Canis lupus familiaris: one gene and its partner. The protein of the gene in region 1 interacts with the protein of each later gene in a biochemical or structural test. Links are inferred from orthologs where the notes say so. Each region holds a gene or a part of one and is shown on either strand. Other genes may lie near its edges.

Region 1 (11,177 bases):
TTTAATTTATTTTTATTTATTAAGTACTCTACACCCAGCTGGGGGCTCGAGCTTACCACCCCAAGAATTGAGTTGCATGCTGTACCAAATGAGCTAGCCAGGCACCCCTACCCATGTTTTTAGTTTTGTTTCTTTAAGTAGACTCCTTGCCAGCATAGAACCCAACAGGAGGCCTGAACTTACAACCCTGAGATCAATACCTGAGCTGAGAGCAAGGGTCAGACGCTTAACTGACTGAGCTACCTAGGCACCTCATGCCCATGTTATTACTATTATTTTTTTTTTTAAGATTTTATTTATTTGAGAGAGAGACAGCACGAACAGTAGGGAGGGACAGAGGGAGAAAGAGAAGCAGACTCCCCACTGAGCAGAGAGCCAGATGCTGGACTCGATCCTAGGACCCCAGGACCATGACCCAAGCCAAAGGCATACACTTAACTGACTGAGCCACCCAGGCACCCACCCATGTTATTTTTGATGATTGCCTTATAGTTCCCTATATAGAGGTAACATAATTTAATTAATGAACTCCTATTTTGGACATTTGAGTTGTCTTTTAATTTAAATAATTATTACCGGGGATCCCTGGGTGGCGCAGCGGTTTGGCGCCTGCCTTCGGCCCAGGGCGCGATCCTGGAGACCCAGGATCGAATCCCACGTCGGGCTCCTGGTGCATGGAGCCTGCTTCTCCCTCTGCCTGTGTCTCTGCGCCTCTCTCTCTCTCTCTGTGACTATCATAAATAAATAAAAATTTTAAAAAAATAAAAATAAAATAAATAATTATTACCTGTTTTGTTAAATTCCACGTATGAGTGAAATCTTACGGTATTTGTCTTTCTCTGACTTATTTCACTTAGCATAATTCTTTCTTAGCTCTATTCACATCATTGCAAATGGCAAGACTTTATTCTTTTTTTTTTTTTTTTTACCTTTTTTTAGAGATTTTATTTATTTATTCATGAGAGACAGACAGAGAGAGAGAGAGGCAGAGACACAGGCAGAGGGAGAAGCAGGCTCCATGCAGGGAGCCCGATGCAGGACTCGATCTCTGGACTCCAGGATCATGCCCTAAGCTGAAGGCAGACGCTTAACCACTGAGCCACCCAGGTGTCCCAAGACTTTATTTTTTATTATGAATAATATTCCATTGTATATATTCAACAAATATTTTGGTTTTTTCCCCCCAAGTTGTTGTTTTTGTGGAAATGGGTCAGTATTAGGTTCTTTGTAAGAAATGTAGAACACTGATTTGTGAGGGCAAACTCCATTTGTGGGAAGAAAACACAGAGTGGAGGTAGCCCTAAAGGTGAGGAACAGGTTTGATTTTTGACAGAATTTTCGAATCCACAGCATGCTGATCAACCTAGTGCTGTGCTGTAGTCTCACATTTCCTTTCTTGCTGTCGAAGATCTCTCCTTCCTGGTATCTGGGTTTATGCAGCTTCTTTTGGAAGTAAGCATCAGTGAAATGTTTGGGAATTTTCACACTGCTGATACCAATTTTGGTGGAGGTGGCAATAACAAATTTCTGGTGTGTTCTATGTAGAGGAATTCGATTGAGGGCCCGAGGTCCAGTCACAGGTAGCAACCCCCACTGCTCAAATGCTTCAGGAAAACCACCTTCTTGCCTCTGTGGAGCCCAGTGAGGATGATCAGAATGGTGCCAGGAGGGGACCTTGGTGGCTCAGTGGGTTAAGCATCTGCCTTCAGTTCAGATCATCATCTCTGGGCCCCGGGATCAAACCCTCCATGGGGTTCCCTGCTCAATGGAGAGTCTGTGTCTCCTTCTTCCTCACTCTCTCTGCCCCTCCCCCAGCTCATGTTCTCTCTTTTTTTTTTCTCTCTCTCTCAAATAAATAAATAAAATCTTTTTAAAAATAATGGTGCCAGGAGTGATGCTAGCTTTCAGAATTCTCCATGCTGACTGAATGGGGTTTTTTTTGCTCTGGCTCAAGAGCTTTTGAGGCACAGCGACAGGATAATACCTAGGCATTTTGTGAAGTTTAATCATTCAGGTACCGCCATTCTTGTTACCACCAACTGGTTTTGTGACCGTAGCAAGAACCTTCTCCTTTTTCTTTTCAACTCTGGATTTAGCTACTGAATGCTTCCTGTTGTACATGGCTTTTCTGGAATACATAGCCAATGGGAAATATGTGCCAGTTTCCTCTGACTAGGACACTTTTGGCTGCAATGGGGCGTCCCCTTCTTTGGCATTTTAACCTTGAGGTCACCATTTTTAATCTTGCCACAAGCATCAGCCTTCTTGGCTCCAGGTTTCTTCTCCTTAGTATCGGCTTCTTATCTTTTCACCCACCATCTTGCAAGATGGGAAAGGATTCTTTTTTTAAGTTTATTTAACTTACTTAAACCATCTCTGCACCCAATGGGGGGCTCAAACTCACAACCCTGAGATCAAGAGTTATGTGCTCTTCCCACTAAGCCAGCTGAGCACCCGGATTTCTTGCTATTTTATACTGTTGGAGTAAAAATCCTCATAACTACATCTTTATTTACATCCCTAATTATTTCTGTAATATAAATTCCTAGAAGTGGTATTCCTGGGTTAAAGTATATAGCTTTCCTTTTTGGTGGTGTTATGTTGATCCTTTGTTTTGTTTTTAAATATTTTATTTATTTATTTTTTAATATTTTATTTATTTAAGAGACAGTATGGGTAAGGGGGAGGGGCAGAGGGAGAGGGCAAGAAGCAGACTCCCCACTGAGTGTGGAGCCCAATGTGGGCCTTGATCCCAGGACCCTGAGATCATGACCAGAGCCTAAGTCAGTCGGTTAAGCATCCAACTCTTTGTTCAGGCAGATCATAGTCTTGGGGTTGTGGGATTGAGCCCCATGTGGAGCTCCCCCTCAACACAGAGTCTGCTTGAGATTCTTTCCCCCTCCCTCTCCCTCCCCTTCTGCTCCTCTGTGCTTCCACTCTCCCTCACTCTCTTTCTCTCTCAAATAAATAAAATAGATAACATATTTTAAAAAGGTGCAGGGGTGGGGGACACCTGGGTGGCTCAGTGGTTGAGCATCTGCCTTTAGCTCAGGGTGTGATCCCAGAGTTCTGGGATCGAGTCCCACGTCAGGCCTCCTGCATCGAGCCTGCTTCTCCCTCTGCCTATGTTTCTGTCTCTCTCTCTCTGTGTCTCTCATGAATAAATAAATAAAATCTCTTAAAAAGGGGGAAGGGGTGGGCTCCTGGGTGGCTCAGTGATTGAGCGTCTGCCTTAGGCTCAGGGCATGATCCCAAGGTCCTGGGATCTAATCCCACATCGGGCTCCCTACATGGAGCCTGCTTCTCTCTCTGCCTATGTCTGTGCCTCTCCCTCTGTCTCTTATGAATAAATAAAGAAATTCTTTTCTTTTTTTAAAGATTTTATTTATTTACTCATCGAGACAGAGAGAGAGAGGCAGAGACACAGGCAGAGGGAGAAGCAGGCTCCATGCAGAGACCCTGACGTGGGACTCTATCCAGGGTCTCCAGGATCACGCCCTGGGCTGCAGGCAGCGCTAAACCACTGCACCACTGGGGCTACCCTAAATAAAGAAATTCTTAAAAAGCGAGGGGGGGGTGGCGCTTGAATGACTCAGTCAGTTGTGTCTGCCTTCAGCTTGGGTCATGATCCCAGGGTCCTGGGATCAAGCCCTGCATCAGGCTCCCTGCCTAGTGGAGAGTCTGCTTCTCTCTGCCCCTCTCCCTGCTCATGTTTCTCTCTCTCTCTCTCTCAAATAAATAAAATCTCAAAAAAAGAAAAAGAAAGAGCTTTATTGATTTTTTTTATTATAAATATAATGTGTCTCAATTGGAAAAAAAAATTCAGACAACTTAAAAGAAAGTAAAAACTGCCTATCTGCATAACCTGATCATGCAGCGGTACTCAGTGTTAGGGCTTTTGAATACATTTTTTGCAAATTTTCCCTATGTATATACATAAATATACAATCCATCTATTTTAAAGGTTTTAAATTTGTTTAAGATTTATCTTTTTGACAAGGAGAAAGAGAAAGCAAGCACAAGCAGGGGGAACAGCAAAGGGAGAGGGAGAAGCAGCCTCCCCGCTAAGCAGGGAGCCCGATGCAGGGCTCAATCCCAGGAAATCATGACCCAAGCCAAAGGCTCAACTGGCTGAGCCACCCAGGCGCCCACCTACCAAAGGTTTTATATTTAAGTAATCTCTACATCTAACATGAGGTTTGAATTTACAACCCCAAGATCAAGAGTCACATGTTCCAGTGACTGAGCCAGTTGGGTGCCCCAAATATACATTTATTTATTTTTTATTTTTTAATTTTTTTTAAAGATTTATTTATTTATTTATGATAGACAGAGAGAGAGAGAGAGGCAGAGACACAGGAGGAGGGAGAAGCAGGCTCCATGCCGGGAGCCAGATGTGGGACTCTCTCCCGGGACTCCAGGATCACGCCCTGGGCCAAAGGCAGGCGCCAAACCGCTGAGCCACCCAGGGATCCCCCAAATATACATTTATTTTAAAAGAGGGCAGGGCAGCCCTGGTGGCTCAGCGGTTTAGCACCACCTTCAGTCCAAGGCATGATCCTGGATACCCAGGATCGAGTCCCATGTCTGGCTTCCTGCATGGAGCCTGCTTCTCCCTCTGTCTCTGCCTCTCTCTCTTTGTCTCTCATGAATAAATAAATAAAATCTTTGAAAAAAAAAATAAACGAGGGCAGGTCATATCATAAATGTACTATCTTGTGGTTTTTAGTTTTTATTTTATTTTTTTATCTTGTGGTTTTAAAAAATTTAATATTTTTAGATATTTTCCCATGTTAAAAATTTGAGCCTGGGGGCAGCCCCAGTGGCGCAGCGGTTTAGCGCCGCCTGCAGCCCAGGGCGTGATCCTGGAGACCCTGGATAGAGTCCCACGTCAGGGTCTCTGCATGGAGCCTGCTTCTCCCTCTGCCTGTGTCTCTGCCTCTCTCTCTCTCTGCATCTCTATGAATAAATAAATAAAATCTTAAAAAAAAAAAAAAAAGGGATCCCTGGGTGGTGCAGCGGTTTGGCGCCTGCCTTTGGCCCAGGGTGCGATCCTGGAGACCCGGGATCGAATCCCACATCGGGCTCCCAGTGCATGGAGCCTGCTTCTCCCTCTGCCTGTGTCTCTGCCTCTCTCTCTCTCTCTCTCTGTGACTATCATAAATAAATAAAAATTTTTTTAAAAATTTGAGCCTGGGTCACCTGACTGGCTCAGTTTGTGGAGCTTGCAACTCATTTTTATTCAAAGATTTTTTTAATTTATTCATGAGAGACATGGAGAAAGAGGCAGAGACATAGGCAGAAGGAAAAACAGGCTCCCCATGGGGAGCCCAATGTGGGACTCGATCCCAGGACCCTGGGATCACGACCTGAGCCAAAGGCAGATGCTCAACCACTGAACCACCCAAGTGCCTGAGCTTGCATGTGTATTATAGCATTATATGTTAATTCAATTGAAATAAAATTTTATTTGTTGATTTTTTTACATATTTTATTTATCTGTTCATGAGAGACAGAGAGAGAGAGAGGCAGAGACACAGGCAGAGGGAGAAGCAGGCTCCATGCAGGGAGCCATATGCGGGACTCGATCCCGGGACCTTAGGATCACACCCTGAGCCAAAGGCAGATGCCCAATTGCTGAGCCACCCAGGTGTCCCAGAAATAAAAAAATAAAATCAATTAAAAATTTTATGGCTGGCTCACTCAGTAGGGCATGTGAGTCCTGATCTGGGGGTCATGAGTTTGAGCCCCATGCTGGGTGTGGAGCCTACTTAAAAAAGTATGGACTGTGCAGCCAGAATGCCCGGATCACATACAGCTTACTCCATACTAGTTCTGTGACCTCAAGCAAGTCACTTAACCTTTCTCTAGAGTTTAATTATCTGTAAAATGAGGATAATAATAATAGCTGTCTCATAGGGTTGTTATAAGGATTAAATACAGTAAGCACTTAGAATAATAGTACATATGAAGGGTCATATGATTTTTTTTAAAGATTTTATTTATTTATTCATGAGACACACACAGAAAGAGGCAGAGACCCAGGCAGAGGGAGAAGCAGGCTCCATGCAGGGAGCCCGACGTGGGACTTGATTCCAGGACCCCAGGATCACACCCTGGGCTGAAGGTGGTGCTAAACCACTGAGCCACACCAAGCTGCCCTGAAGGGTCATATGAAAAGTAGCTTCATTACAGAAATAAATCTTTCACCATTTTTTTTTTAAGATTTGATTTTATTTATTCATGAGAGACACAGAGAGGCAGAGACATAGGCAGATGAAGAAGCAGGCTCCATGCAAGGAGCCCGATGCAGGACTCGACCTTGGACTCTGGGATCACGCCCTGGGCTAAAGGCTGATGCTTAACCACTGAGCTACCCAGGCGTCCCTTTTACCAGTTTTATATGTGGAAGTGCCTTTGATTTTTATTTCTTGGATTATGAATCATGTTGCATAATCTTTCCTAAGCTTCCTGGGTTCTTTTTTTATCCCAATCACTTTCTGCCTCTCCACATAGTAAAAGGGAAGCTTCTGGAGCCTGTCTGGGGAAGACCAGGAAACTCATCAGTTTGCTCTCTGTCTCTGGAATCCTATCACCTAGGTTCACAGCTGGAGCCAAGCTGTTGTTCCACCTGCGCCAGCTGTTGGAGGAGCTGAAGGGATTAAGTCACCTGGTTAGCTATCAGGATGACCCTCTGACCGCAGGGGTCAACCTGCGGAAGGCCCAGGTCCTGGAGTTGCTACAGCGCCTGCTCCACAGGTCTAGAGGCCGGGGAGGGACCTCCAGGGAGGGCAGAAGGAAAGAGCAAGAGGAGCTATTCCTGCAGAGACTGAACTCTGTATTCTCTCGGCCACCTCTCTCCCCAGAGCCTTCGTGGTAGAAACCCAGCCCTGCATGCCCCAAACTCCCCACCGACCCCTCATCCTCAAGACTGGGAGCAAGTTCACTATCCGAACAAGGTTGGCATTTCAGGACTCATTCCTGCTTCCTTTTTCCAGCCCTCATACTACTGTTTGCTTTCTGGCTTTAGATCTTTCCACTCTTGTCTTCTCCCTTTTCTCTTTAATCCACCTACCTCGTCTCTTTCTTTTTCTTTTTCCCATCTACCTCTTCTAATCTCTTACCTTATCTTTTCCCAACATTTGATCTCTCCAGGAGATTGAAGGTGACCACTTTCCCCTCTTCCACTTAGGCTCCTGGTGAGACTCCAGGAAGGCAACGAGTCACTGACTGCAGAAGTTTCCATTGACAAGTAAGTTGGGGCACGTGGGGCCACAGGGTGGCAGGGACATGGGCTGCTGGGGCAGAGGAGACCCACTCTTCACCCGAGGGCCCTGGGGCTGTGTTCCTACCCCGCCTCCTCGCTCTTGTTGAGCACTATGTGACATGCGGCTTGTCCAGTCCTCATTTGTCCCAGGAACCCTGTGAGTTAGGTATTAGCAGTGCACAGTTCAGATGGAGAGACAAGCCCAGAGAGATTGTGTCTCTTGTGCAAGGCCATAAGACTCGTGAGCACAGATTTGGGTTTGAATCCAGGTCTGTCTGATTCTAAAGACTAAACTCCTAACTTCTGCACTGTTTTGGTTCTCAGTGAATTTTTTTTTTTTTTTTTTTTTTTCAGGAATCCTCAATCACAAGGGTAGGTGTCTGATAAGGATGCTGCCGACTTGGGTGCACTGCACAACCTGCATAATAACCACATTGGGGCTCAGACAAGAAGGAGGTTGACTTGGTTGGGGGTTGGACAAAGGGAGGAGGGGAGGTCTGGAATGAAGTAGGATTTTTGTTGTTTTCCTGCTGAGTATTTAGAATAACTCTTCTCCTCTTCTCCATATATCTTCTTCCTCCTGGAATAGCTTCCGGAAGTTCAACATTCTAACCTCAAACCAGAAAACCCTGACCCCCGAGAAGGGGCAGAGTCAGGGCTTAATTTGGGACTTCGGTTACCTGGTAAGAAGGGCTAGCAGCCTAAGGTTCTGGTCCGGTGCAACGGGCTGAGGGAAGTTCCCAGGCCTTGGGAAGTCTTGAGGCGAAATAGGGGTTCCAGGGACCCTGGAGTCCTCACTCTGGCATTTATTTTATTTCCTGTCAACTCACAGACTCTGGTAGAACAACGTTCAGGTGGCCCAGGAAAGGGCTGCAATAAGGTGAGGCCTGGCCAGAGCAGCGGGGGGATGGGAGGAGCTTGCCACAGGGCCCGCTGACCGCTGTGTCTTCGGCTGTCCTAGGGCATGCTGGGTGTGACGGAGGAACTGCACATTATCAGCATTACAGTCAAATACACCTACCAGGGTCTGAAGGAGGAGCTGAAGGTGAGTGGAAATGGAGGGCAGGGAGAGATGAAGCAGATCTGGCGGAAGGCATTCAGGAGGCGTTAAAGGAAGCCTCTCCAGTGGGAAGTTCTCCTTTGCCTCTGTCAAAGCTAGAAACATCCCATCCCTCTCTCTGACTCTTGTTTTCTCTTCAGACAGACACCCTCCCTGTGGTGATTATTTCCAATATGAACCAAGTTTCCATTGCCTGGGCCTCGGTTCTTTGGTTCAATCTGCTTAGCTCAAACCCCCAGGTAGGAGATGGTGCTAATGGTGCTGGGTGGCAAGGAAGGGTGTGGACGCTTGGCCTGAGGGTGCTCCTTCTGAGCCATCCTGCCCTCTTCCCACTCTTGCAGAATCAGCAGTTCTTCTCCAGCCCTCCCATGGCACCCTGGAGCTTGCTGGGCCCTGCTCTCAGCTGGCAGTTCTCCTCCTATGTTGGCCGAGGCCTTGACCCAGACCAGCTGAGCATGCTGAGGAACAAGCTCTTTGGTACAAACCTCCTTTTCTCCCAGCCTTTCCCCAGCCGTAGTCTCCCCAGCCCTCCACCCTTTCTATTCCAAGGACCCTGGCCTTGCCTGCATCGATTACCTGAACTGTCTGTCTGTCCACAGGTCAGAACTCTAGGACTGAGGGCGCATTGTTATCGTGGGCCGACTTCACTAAGGTAACTCCCTGCATCCTGTGTGACTACGTCTAGCCCCTGTGCAAACACTAGTCCTTGCCCTCCTTACTGCCATCTGCTCACTGGGGGCGACTAATCATGTCTCTTCCTGCCTTTTCATTCCTCCTGCAGCGAGAGAGCCCTCCTGGCAAGCTACCATTCTGGACGTGGTTAGACAAAATTCTGGAGCTGGTACATGACCACTTGAAGGATCTCTGGAATGATGGGTAAGGCCTTGGTCAGTCTCCCTCGCCCCACCCCTAGCTTTCTGCCTTTCTGGGCTCGAGTGGACTCTGTGCGCCCTCATGTGGCAGAAAGGGAGAGAGCAAGCAAATGCTGGTGCAAGGTCACGCGCCTGACGTTTTCGCTCATGATAATAGTCCTAGCATCTGTTGTGCTCCAGAACCTGCTGGATGCTCCTTATGAACTCTCTCGTGTAATCCTTACAACCGTGTGGAGTCAAAGAGAAGTTAAAGAATTCACTCAAAAAAAAAAAAAAAAGAATTCACTCAATGAAAAAAAAAAAAAAAGAATTCACTCAATGGGCCTGCTTGGGACTCAAACCCAGGCCTCATCTGACTGCAGGCCTGTGCTCTTCCCATCACACTACCTGCTCATTTGCCTTTCCAAGGTGCTTTTTCATCTGTGACCACACTGAATCCTCAAACCTCTTCCAGCCCTAGAAGGTGGATACCGTCAGTAAGAGGAAGTGACTTGGCCAAGAGCAAGGGCCAAACCCTGGCGCTGTCTCCCTGTACAAGGAGAGCAGGACAGCAGGACAGCAGGGAGGCATGAGGGCCTCACAGCAGCTTTCTGTTTCAGACGCATCATGGGCTTTGTGAGCCGGAGCAAGGAACGCAGGCTGCTGAAGAAGACCATCTCTGGCACCTTTCTCCTGCGCTTCAGTGAAACATCAGAAGGGGGCATCACCTGCTCCTGGGTGGAACATCAGGATGATGGTCAGCTGCTTCGCCCCGATGTTCCCACAGCCTGTCCTTTATGTCCCTCTGCCAGCCCTTGGCTTCCCTGGTTCTGTCTTGAATCCCTCAGCAGGTTGGGGCTTAGATGGCCAGGGTGGGGGACTCCTAGACCCGACTGTTTCAGGCCTGCCTCTTCCCACATCCATTCTGCAGATAAGGTGCTCATCAACTCTCTGCAACCCTTCACCAAGGAAGTGCTTCAGTCTCTCCCACTGACCAAAATCATTCGCCACTACCAGCTGCTTACCGAAGAGAACATACCTGAGAACCCACTGTGCTTCCTCTACCCCCGAATCCCCCGGGATGAGGCTTTTGGGTGCTACTACCAGGAGAAAGGTAAGGATCGTTGATGTATGTCACTGAAGATTGCAGGGACTCAGGCATCTACAGATCCAGCTCCTTTCTTCCAGACATGGAAAAATTGGTAGCCAGAGAAACGAAAGGATTTGTCCCTGGGACATGGCTAGTTAGTAGGGAAATACAATTATCAAGACCGTTTACACGAGGGGTCCTTGGGCCAGGTGTCCAGTCCACTGACCTCCCTGTCCTCCTGCATATGTCCCCCACAGTTAATCTCGAAGAACGGAGGAAATACCTGAAACATAGGCTCATTGTGGTCTCTAACAGGTGAGAGATGCATTTCTTGCCCATCCTCCCTGGCCTTTGCTGGCTGATGTGGCGACCCAAACCCGCTCAGTTTGCCTCTCTGGCCTTCTTTCCTACGGGCCCATAGTCTCCAACCTCTAGGTTTTTTCCCTCGTTCTGCTAGCCTCTTTGTTCCCTAGTGCTCTGCTGCTATCCTTAGGTTGTTTCCACAGGGCTTCCCTGCTAATCAGAGTCATAATCACTGACGTTAATGGGCATCTACTTGAAGCATAGTACTAGATTTTTTTTTTTTTTTAGAAACAGATTTCTTTTTATTTTATTGAATTCTTCTGAGAACCCATCCAATTAGGTGATAACAGCCATATTTAAGAAAGTTTATTATGTGGCAGGTACTGGACTAAATATTTTGCATTTAGTTTCTTATTTATTGAATCTCCATAATAGTCCTGTGAGGCAGACATGGGTATTTCAGCCGAAGAGCCTGAGGTTTAGTGTGGTGAAATGGCATGCCTAAGGTACATGGCTAGTAAATGATCCAGGTCTGTCAGATTCCAAAGTCCTGCTTTTAACCATCCTACTCTCTGAAGCGTTATTAGGTGGTGATGGTTCCATTTT
Region 2 (11,177 bases), on another chromosome or scaffold:
TGGTGAGAGATTATAAATTTTATCTCTGGAGTAAACAGTTTCAGTCCTTCTCTAGAATAAAACAAATAGAATACTGCTCTTCAAAAAAAAGAAAAAGGTCAAAATGGAGAACAAATTCTTGTCTTTTTTCTCTCCCATTAAACAGAGGTACAAAGAATGCTTACTTCTCCACTTGAAGAGTTTTTCCAGATATCTAAGCTGTAGGTAAAGCTGGAGCTATCCAGAGCCCACATGACGCTGTCTCTCGCTCCAGGCAGGGAGATGTTTATTATGATTGTCTTATCTTCGGCTTCTAAATGTACTTTTGGGGGACCAATCTGAGCTGTAAAGAAATGAACACATTTATTTGATCACTTCATTAATAGAGGGTGGAAACATTCAGGGATCCGCTCCAGGGTACGCACTCTCAAAGTTGATCATTCAATGTGTTGACAGAACGGATGCAGGATTTTAAGGAAAAGGGATGCTAAAAGTGACTCCAAAGCTCTTGGCGCTATCAATGAAACAGGTGCCATCTGTAGTGGGGATGGAAAATTAGCTGCAAGAGGAGCAGGTTTGGAGTGGGAAATCAAGAGCTTTGTTTGACCTGATGACTCAGACGCCCAAGCAGAGATGGTGACTAGAGAGCTGGTGATACAAGTGTCACGGTTAAGGGAAAGGAGTGGGGCTGGAGATGTAAGTTTGAGCTTTTCTCAAGGGCACACAGATTGGAAGGACCGAGGGTAGAAAAAGAAGAAGTAGGACAATCCAGCCCTGCGGTAATCTGGCACCGAAAGGCCTGCAAGGCCTGGAGAAAGGGGCAAAGGAGGGAAGGATGAGCAGGAAAGGAGCTGACAGGGATCAGGGCCCTGGAGACCCAGAAACGGATGGGCTTCCAGTGATCACTGTGGCCCTACACAGGTTCTGAGCCAGAGGAGGGCTGGGAAGTCTCTCGGCATTGAGGAGGGCACCAGAGTCCTTGACAGGAGTGGTTTATTTTCCTTTTTTCATTTTTTTTCTTAAGATTTTAAAAAATATTTATTTATTCATGAGAGAGACAGAGAGAGGCAGAGACACAGGCAGAGGGAGAAGCAGGCTCCATGCGGGGAGACCAATAAGGGACTTGATCCCAGGACCCTGGGATCACGACCTGGGCCAAAGTCAGACGCTCAACCGCTGAGCCACCCAGGTGCCCCAACAGGAGTGGCTTCTGTATAGTGACAGGAAAGGAGGTCACATGCACAGGGCTGCAGAGGGAGTGGCAGGCCAAGAAGTGCCGAGAGGGACAGAGATCATCCTTCTCAGGGGTTGTGATAGAGGGCTGGGATTCCCAACTGTTTAACTCTCAGGACCCCTTCAAACTCAGAGAAACTGAGGGTCTGAAAGAGCTTTTGTTGGGGATCCCTGGGTGGCTCAGCGGTTTGGCGCTTGCCTTTGGCCCAGGGTGTGATCCTGGAGTCCCAGGATCGAATCCTACATCAGGCTTCCTGCATGGCGCCTGCTTCTCCTCTGCCTGTGTCTTGGCTCCTCTCTCTCTGTGTCTCTCATGAATAAATAAATAAAATCTTAAAAAAAAATGAAAGAGCTTTTGTTGATATGGATTATGTCTTTGAATATTTAGCACAGAAAATGTGAAAACTGCTAACATTTTAAAATATTAATTCGTTAACAGGTAATAATGATAAGCCCACTGTGCCGTAACAAGTATTTGTTATAAAAAATAACTCTATTTTCCCAAAACAAACATAGTGAGAATAGTGGTGCTGTGTCAAATCTAGTCCCATTACTGTCTTAACAAAGACGACAGATGTTATCTCACACCCACCTCTGGAAGTCACCCCACCAATCTCCCTATGATCCATCAGCCTCTGGAAAACTCCAGAATATTTTTTATATTCTTTTAAAAAACTCTATACTCATGGAAAAGGGGCAGAGAAGTCTTGGAATTATTATGAAAACAGTTTGGCTTTTTTTTTTTTTTTTAAGTGGGAGATTTCACATCACGCACATGAATGGGCTTGGGAAGTGAGCCCTTATGGTAACAGTAAACGAGGAATATTCTATAATTCAGCTGGCAACTTCCTCTTACCTTTTTCAAATAGGGTGAATGAGTCAATATTATGCCACGGAGAAGTGTTGTTTCCTTCCTCTGCTCTTATACGCAATTTAACTTTGTCGTAAACATTGAGCTTGAGTGAAGAAAAGTCGCACGTGGTGTTGGCAACAGACTGACACCCAGGCAATTTTAACCAAGTATCATTTCCAAGTCTTTAAGATAAAAAAGCAGATGAACAAATAAGCAAATGTATAAAAATACAAAAGACTGTCAGACACGGTTTCTGTTTACTAAAAACTGAAGCTATTATAAAACTAGGCTAAGTAGTTATTCTATGAGTTAATGTCCTGTTAACATTTGAGTTGCCATGTGGCACTCTTGTTCAGCACAGACATACCAAGCTTTTATTTATAACATGGAATAACTCTGATCATTTTTTTAAAAGATTTTATTTATTTATTCATGAGAGACACACAGGGAGAGAGGCAGAGACACAGGCAGAGGGAGAAGCAGGCTCCTTGCGGGGAGTGCGATGCAGGACTTGATCCCAGGACCTGGCATCACGCCCTGAGCCAAAGGCAGATGCTCAACCACTGAGCCACCCAGGTGCCCCAAGAGGGTTACTTTATTTTTTTATTTTTTTTAAATTTTTATTTATTTATGATAGTCACAGAGAGAGAGAGAGAGGCAGAGACATAGGCAGAGGGAGAAGCAGGCTCCACGCAGGGAGCCTGATGTAGGACTCAATCCCAGGTCTCCAGGATCATACCTTGGGCTGAAAGCAGGCGATAAACCGCTGAGCCACCCGGGCTGCCCTCAAAGTTCAATTTAAAGAAAATCTCTAGAGATAAAAATTCTTAAGTGGCTAATTAAGAGAAAAAACACGTATGTATGTATACAGGTGTATACACATGTGTACACACGTACATACACACACAAATGGCTAAAGCTGCGAGATTATTAACAATCGACTAGAAAACAGCAGTGCCAGGGTTGTGGTTGAAGTGGGGAGATCCTTGTTCTAGAGGTCCTACACCCTGTTTTTTCACTGCCCAATTACTGGCCGCTGTTTCTTGGACAGAGATCATGGTTAGCACACAGGGCCCTGACACCCAAAGCAAAGCACTGTACTTGCTGAGCTGTGTTCTTCTGTAATCCCTTCTTCTGCAACTCCCTGCTTGCCCAGCCTCTTGGCAGCTACAAAGTAGAAAGTGCTAGGGAGAAGGCATAAACTCTAGAAAAAGAGTCTGTGGAAAAAGAGGATCCAATATGCTCATGTTAATAAATTTTATCTAAAATTAAAATGTTGTATATGATGGGGAGAATTGAAAAATCCTGACCACCGGAGAACTGGGGGGCTATTTCAAGACCACGGATAGACCTTTTGGGGTCCTCTTCCATATCCTCAAGACATGTTCTAGTTCGGACCCTAATATATACTCAAAGAAGGTGGAGCATCTAGAAGAGAGAAGGTAGGGCTGTGGTCTACAGAAGCTGTCTGCCATCCTCATCCCCCAAATCTCTTTTGCTACAACACCCAAAGGTCAAGTGGATGAAGTCTCTATTTGTAGAAATGTAAGTTATAAATATTACATAGACATAAAGTTTCTGTAAAAGATAGAAAAACCAATTGTTTCCCAAATCTGAGAAATAAACGATGGTATGGTAATTTTTTAAAAATTTCAGGTGATTCTTGCAAATCAATCAATAGTCACATACGTTTGATAATATGCTGAAAAGGTCACATTCCTGATAGACGGGTTGCTCCTGTTCCACCTTAGGATAAAGGTATCATCAACGATGTAGACCTCTACATTTTGAGGAGATTTTAGAGTTGTTCCTCCTGGAAATAAAGAAACAAGACAGAAGACAATCACATGTACACTGTAAATATTCTTAAAAATGTTGTTCTTCCTTTCACATCATTGATTAAAGAATGAATACATTCATATATAATAAAGTACATGCAAAAATCTAAATAAAAAAAAAATACCCTAATGATTGCTCTCAGCACAGGGAGGCTGCTAATTATTTATGTAATCTTTGCTTTTGAGAGAGCTGGAAAAAGGCTGAGGTTTTTTTTTTTTTTTTAAATCTATAAAAAGTAAGCCTTCTATGTCCTAAGTATCTCAGTAAAGCTGGAAAAAATAAGGAAAGATAAATCAGCCTTATCTTTTAATTAAAAGTCTCTTTACCCAAGACATACAAAACGCTAATTCGAAGGAATACATGCACCCCTATGTTCATAGCAGCATTATTTACAACAGCCAAGTTATGGAAGCACCCCAAGTGTCCATCAACTGATGAAGGTTCAGCCATAGAAAAGAATTAAATCTGCCATTTGCGATGACATGGATGGAATTAGAGAGTATTATGCTAAGTGAAGTAAGTCTGTCAGAGAAAGACAAATACCATATGATCTCACTTATATGTGTAATTTAAGAAACAAAACAAATGAGCAAAGGTTAAAAAAAAAAAAAAAAAGAAAGGCAAACCACGAAATGGACTCAACTCTAGAGAACAAATTGACAGTCACCAGAGGGGAGGGGGCGGAAGGGAGGCGGGAAATGGGTGAAGGGGATTAAAGGCCATACTCATTGTGATGAAAAATAAAACACCTTCCACCTGCAGATAGATTACAACTCATCTGCAAGCTCAGATGACAGCTGGCATTTTTTAGCAATTAAAGTTAAAAACGAAAAAAGGAAGAAATTGTCTCTGCATAAAAATTTTCTTTGGTCTTAAAAGTGATGTAAAAGATACAAGGTTTCATGGTTTAGTGGCCTCAGTTTTGTTTCACATCTTATTATTCATGCTTTATGTATTCTGTTAAAGAACGGAACAGGTGAGATTTCAAAGTCAACAGCCATACACAGAAACAAATATTCACATGACAAAATCGAGAGAGAGAGATGAATGTTTCTTATGTCAGCCAAGCACTATAGGAACTCATAAAGGTGTTCATATTAAGCCCGAACCCTTCTGATTACTTTTAAGGACTTCCAGTCTCCAGTCCAGAGATCTATTATTTCTTATGCTTCGAGTACGAATCTTCCCAGAGTTTGACGTCCTCTCTTATTTTTCCCTTTTGGCCTCTTCCACCTGTGCTTTTCTTCCTCTCTGACTGACCAAATATTACCCAGATCCAGCTCACGTTGGACCCCTTACAGAAAACCATCATCAAGGACTTCAGCTCATGCTAACTTTGCTCTTTCCTTACATGCTGTAGCACACATCTATACCCCTCAATTTCACACTAAAGCACAGTACACGACACAGTACCTGACATCTACTAGGATCTCAAAACTTGCTGAATGAAGATGTTTCAAGAGAAAACCAGCAGTTTCTTTGCATTAAACACAATCTCCAATCAGATTACAAACTCCTTGAGGACAGAGTCTATACAGCTGCATACTTAATCTGCATTTTTCAGAGTTCTCAGCACAGTGCTGGGGTTAGAGGAGTTTCTTCATCACAAAAGGTTGATCTTTCACTATGACAAGCTACAATTTGTTTTTTAAGATTTTATCTATTTATTCATGACAGACACAGAGAGATGGAGACATAGGCAGAAGGTGAAGCAGGCTCCCTGCAGGGAGCCTGATGTGAAACTTGATCCCAGGACCCTGGGATCATACCCTGAGCTCAAGGCAGATGCTTAACCACTGAGCCATCCAGGTGCCCCAATAATCTAAACTTTTTAAAAGGCTGGCTTTTACATTTATTTATCTCTTGTTCCTACAATACATCCTTTATTTTTGTCTCAGGGCAAGCATGTTCCCTCCTTGTAGACTTTCAACCATAGGCGTCCTTATGTAGAACTTTTTTTTTTTTTTTTTAGATTTTATTCATTTATTCATGAGAGACACAGAGAAAGAGAGAGAGAGAGAGAGAGAGAGAGAGAGAGACAGGCAGAGGGAAAAGCAGGCTCCATGCAAGGAGCCCGACATGGGACTTGATCCCGGGTCTCCAGGATCACACCATGGGCCAAAGGCAGGCACCAAACCACTGAGCCACTCAGAGGTCCCTAGAAATTTCTTTATTGGTACTGCTCACTCTATTTTCCAGCTAGAGATGTTATGGTATGGAGTCCAAAGGGGGAGGAGCTGAGATAACATTTTCTGAAAACTTTATTTTTATCTTTTATTTATTATTTTTTTTGAAAACTTTATTTTTAATTTGGGGAGCTCCTCAGTGAGTCTCCCCTCCTTCAATTTTCTTCTTTACACTTACTTGCTTGGAGACTTTCCCTTATTCCACTTCTCTAAACTTAATTCCCATTCCATTTGTTGTGATTTTATAGTTTCAATGCAGCTACGGGTCTATAAACCCATAGCTGGGTTTATAGGAATCAACCAAAGGTGTGATGGCATTTGTCATCTCTGGTCTGGACTAGTCTAATTCCAGTAATTCTGGGCCTTGAGACAGGGAGAGGAAATCTGATGGTGGTAGAACCAGGAATTGCCTCTGGGATGCCGTCCTTCAGCTAAAGAAAGGAGACTGCAATTTGGGGCATCTTGGCATTTGGGAGACCAACAGATAACTGATAAATGACAAAGAAATAGTTATTAAACAGTGTTTTCGATTTCACAGATTTTGTTCTGTTCATATTACCAATATCTGTTTGAAAACAGTCTATTTCACTCTGTAGTGTCTAAGATCTATAAATGGGCACTTGATCCAATACTCCCACTTACACAACTGGTTGCTTCTAACCTTTCACATTCCTATGGATGATCAGAAACAATTTACTGTCTCTCTCTCTTTTTTTTTGTAAAGATTTTATTTATTGATGAGACACAGAGAGGCAAAGACATAGGCAGAGGGAAAAAAGCAGGCTCCCTGCAGGGAACCTGATGCCAGACTCGATTGTGGGGACCAGGATCATGACCTGAGCCAAAGGCAGACGCTCAACCGCTGAGTCACCCAGGCGTCCCGATTTACAGTCTTTTAAAGTCTGACATAAATCCAGACACATCCATCCAAATAAAAATTTCCTCCCGTATTTTGTTAATTTTCTTAGGCCAGGGTCCTAGAATTGCATTCACTAGGTTGAAAAGAATGAATATTTTTATGACTTTGAAAGGAAGCAACATTAGGATCTCCAGTTCTGGTCAACATTTCATTTGGTTTTGAACATTTTATTACTCCTTTGAGGAATAAAAACACATTAGTTAATTGAATGATAATGAGGAACTTAATAGTATTGATGGATAATTGAGAATTTAAATAGTTTAACCTTTAGGAAAACAGACAAGTCTTAAGCCCAGGGCACTGCTGCCAGATTCCCAGGGTTTAATTTCCGGTTTGGTCACTGGCTAGCTGTATGGCCCTAAGCAAGCTATTCAGTGTCTCCGTTCACCTGTAAAACGAGGATAACAGTGTGTAGCTTTTTACAGAAAACTAAATGAGTTTATACCTTTAAAGCATCTAGATAATTGCTTGGCACACAGTTAAGCTGTGTATAACTCTAATATAATGCTAGCTGTATATAAAGTTTATTTTAGCAGCCCTCCCCTAATTTAGATTAAAATAAGGATCTTAATGTACATCCTCCAGAAATGCTACTTTCACATGAGAATTCTCGGGGAAATTCTTTTTATTTTTTTGATTTTATGTATTTATTCATGAGACACACACACACAGAGAGGCAGAGACATAGGCAGAGGGAGAAGCAGGCTCCTTGCAGGAGCCCGATGTGGGTCTCGATCCCGGGACTCCCAGATCACGCTCTGAGCCAAAGGCGGATGCTCAACCGCTGAGCCACCCAGGTGTCCCAAAATTCGTTTTATATTACAGCACAATGAGCCGAATACAAAAATTTGAAGAACAAAAGACTTCAAAGAAATTACCATGGGTTATACCAGGACCACTGTACCCATCTACTATATATACTATATTTATTGAAGAGTTTGAGCAGTAGGATACTCTTGTACCACATCAGGGTTCGCTTTTCTAAGCAAACAGGGATTTTGAACATATTAGGTGGCCTCACTGACCCCTTGGATTCCTGCCCTGCGGTGGTGCTAGGCTTTCTTTCTTTCTTTCTTTCTTTCTTTTTTAAAGATTTTTTATTATTTATTTATTCAAGACAGACATAGAGAGAGAGAGGCAGAGACACAGGCAGAGGGAGAAGCAAGCTCCATGCACCGGGAGCCCGACGTGGGACTCGATCCCGGGTCTCCAGGATCGCGCCCTGGGCCAAAGGCAGGCGCTAAACCGCTGAGCCCCCCAGGGATCCCCTAGGCCCTTTTTCTCACTGGGTAACCCCTCCTCACTACACAGTCAACCTTTTAATAGTTGCCATCCCCACCCCCCAGCGGCTCCCTAGTTAAGTATTAATAAGGGCGGCAAACTGGCCTGATGGTCCCAGACTGTGTTTCTTGGCCGCGCATTTTCCTTTGTTACTTTGTATTAGACTCCACGAAGCCTTGAAGGCAGAGAAATTCCCGCAATCCCGGCCTCTCTCACGTGGGACTGAGTAACTGTCACATTGAGACAACGTTTCAGGCACAGCAACACTGTTTCGCGGCTAAAGCCTCGTTTATTATTTCAGGGTCCAGCCGAGCTCCCGGATTCCTGGGAGAGAAGCAAAGTGGACAGGACGGCCGGGGCTCGCCCGGCGCGGCGAGGGTGGAAGCGGGGTGGGGGGGGGGCGTCCGCCGCCGGGGACCGGTGCGCAGGCCCGCAAGCCAGCGGCGTGCAAGGATGCTCGAACACCATTACCGCCCGGCTTTCGGGCCGAGGTCTCCGGAAGGACCCCGGGAGGCCTCCGCGCGGTCTGCGCCAGTCCCTTCCCCGGACCCCACCGCCCAGCCCCTCGCCCCGCCCCGGGCCTGCGCCGAGGCCCCGCGTCTCTGACCTGCGGCTGCGGGCAGCATCCACGGCGCCCCCGCCACCAGCACCACGGTCGTCGCGCCCAGGAGGGTGAGCATCGTCCGGGGCCGCCCTGGCCGAGCGGGTCACATCCTCCGGCACCTCGCGCCGAATCCGGCGACGCCGGGCAGCTCACCCTCCGCAAAGGCCGCCCCGCCCCTTCCTTTCTCCCCTCCCCTCTCCCCCTCCCGCGCTCGCCCCGCCCACCGCCTCTCACCCCGCCTGCGGGCAGCACCCGGGGCGTCGCGCCCAGGAGGGGGAGCATCGTCCGGGGCCGCCGCTGGCCGAGCGAGCCCCATCCTCGGTCCCGTCCCGCGGAACCGGGCGGCGCGAGCTCATCCTCGCGCAAAGGCCGCCCCTCGCCCGCGGCCGCGTCTCCCACCCTTCCTTCCTCCCTCCCTCCCCGCCCCTCCGCGCTCACCCCGCCCTACGAGTCCTCCGCGGGGAGGTGGGGGGAGGCGGCGGACCGCGCGTGCGCGGCGGGGACCGGGTGGCGCCTCGCCCCGTCCTTACCGCCAGTCGCCGCCCACGGCCGCCCGCCCCCTTCCAGCAAGGCCACGCCCAGCGGAACGCCTTGACCCGGCGGGAGCCGGGCGCGCGCTGCCCGGCCTCGCTCCCCCGCGCGGTCGCGGACACGGAGGGGCGGCGGTGAGGAAGCCGCGAGCCGCCAGGCGGATTCCTGGGTGCAGAGCGCCGTGAGCAACGGCCAGAGCGGCCGGGGCCCTGGCTGCCGGGGCGACCTGCCCGAGGTGCGCACGGGACCGGTGGAGAGTCTCGACGGTCTCCAGAGCTCAAGCAGTTAGGGTCCCTTGCCCGTGTCAGTAAACAGTTGGGGTCCACCCTCCAGATCGTTCTTTAAATGCCCGAATCATAGATTATGGATGGTATTGAAATACGCAAAAAGAAAGGATGAGATGAAACAAGCAATCGTGCTTAGCTGTTAATTACAACTAAACAATATTAATTACCGATCGTCATAAAATGGGTATTTGTAGAGAACAAGGCACTTGGGTTTTTGCCTTATAAACAACTTTGGGGTATGATTCATTTATTTATTTTTTTTTAAGGATTTTATTTATTCATGAGAGACACACAGAGAGAGGCCGAGACACAGGCAGAAGGAGAAGCAGGCTCCATGCAGGGAGCCCGACGTGGGACTCGATCCCGGGACTCCACGATCATGCTCTGGGCCGAAGGCAGCCGCTAAACCGCTGAGCCACTCAGGGATCCCCGAGGTATAATTTATATATCGTGAGATTCACTCATTTTAAGTGAAAAAATGATGTTTGGTGAATAATGATGTTAGGCCTCATTATTTTTATTTATTTTTAGAAATTGACAGCACGTGTAGGGGGGAGGGGCAGACATCCAGGAACAGAGGCTCTCAAGCAGGCCCACCCTCAGTACAGATCCCGAGGACAGGCTCCATGGAAGGATCCCTGAAATATTGACCTGAGCAGAAATCAAGAGTTAGGTGCTTAACGCCCTCAGCCACCCAGGGGCCCCAGGCCTCATAATTTTTTTTTTAAACATTGGCTTATTATTTTGTTATTCAACAAATTTTAGGTTTAATTCTGGGTTTGCCGGTGCCTTAACAATATGATAGAAGGAAGACTATCCTATGAGAATATGTGGGTCGAATGGAAAAAGGAAATTCCTGGTTGCACTTAGTAAATTGTACATATTTTAAAAGATTTTCCAACAACTTTTTGGCTGATGGTTTTAATTGAAATTTCCATTTCCTGCTGTCCAAAAGTTGCTTTTGCAAACTACTGGGAATAGTTTGCACTTCTGTGTTTAGAACGTGGGCCCCAAAGAGTTCATGGATGGGAATTTTCCATGTGAAATACTTAAAAATATGTTGGCAGCCCCTCCCCCTTCTTTAATGGCAAGGTCGAGTTTTTTACAGACACACACAGCACTTTTGGCAACAAAAATCACATCCACATGGAAATAATCCAGATGTATTTTAAAATGGAAGAGTTCTATGTAGTGTATGCCTATATCGTTTTTTGCTCATAATAAGCAGTTTTAAAGGAGTTTATGCTTCATTTTTTTCTTTTTAAGATTTTATTTATTCATAAGAGACACACAGAGAGAGGCAGAGACATAGGCAGAGGGACAAGCAGGCTCCCTGCGTGGAGCCAGATGTGGGCCTGGATCCCAGGACCCCGGGATCATGACCTGAGCCAAAGGCAGACACTCAACCACTGAGCCACTCAGGTGCCCCTTGAAGTTTAACTCTTATTTCTTCAGATCTTCAGCC

Evidence for each region.
Region 2: the proteins of STAT2 (region 1) and IFNAR1 form a complex in vitro, tested with the Homo sapiens proteins (2 studies listed by BioGRID). The link is inferred for Canis lupus familiaris from reciprocal best matches to the Homo sapiens genes STAT2 and IFNAR1.

Annotation. Positions count from the first base shown.
Region 1 is NC_049231.1:996,888-1,008,064, reverse strand, and holds part of STAT2 (signal transducer and activator of transcription 2), read left to right. Parts: intron 1-6,600; coding exon 6,601-6,759; intron 6,760-6,866; coding exon 6,867-6,959; intron 6,960-7,192; coding exon 7,193-7,252; intron 7,253-7,621; coding exon 7,622-7,639; intron 7,640-7,856; coding exon 7,857-7,950; intron 7,951-8,099; coding exon 8,100-8,147; intron 8,148-8,228; coding exon 8,229-8,312; intron 8,313-8,467; coding exon 8,468-8,566; intron 8,567-8,668; coding exon 8,669-8,804; intron 8,805-8,926; coding exon 8,927-8,979; intron 8,980-9,108; coding exon 9,109-9,203; intron 9,204-9,798; coding exon 9,799-9,935; intron 9,936-10,109; coding exon 10,110-10,292; intron 10,293-10,525; coding exon 10,526-10,583; intron 10,584-11,177. UniProt on the Homo sapiens protein: Signal transducer and activator of transcription that mediates signaling by type I interferons (IFN-alpha and IFN-beta).
Region 2 is NC_049252.1:28,539,079-28,550,255, reverse strand, and holds the start of IFNAR1 (interferon alpha/beta receptor 1), read right to left. Parts: upstream 9,270-11,177; 5' UTR 9,211-9,269; coding exon 9,129-9,210; intron 9,061-9,128; exon of another isoform or gene 8,971-9,060; coding exon of another isoform or gene 8,898-8,970; intron 8,544-8,897; exon of another isoform or gene 8,396-8,543; intron 3,879-8,395; coding exon 3,755-3,878; intron 2,248-3,754; coding exon 2,069-2,247; intron 323-2,068; coding exon 165-322; intron 52-164; coding exon 1-51. UniProt on the Homo sapiens protein: Together with IFNAR2, forms the heterodimeric receptor for type I interferons (including interferons alpha, beta, epsilon, omega and kappa).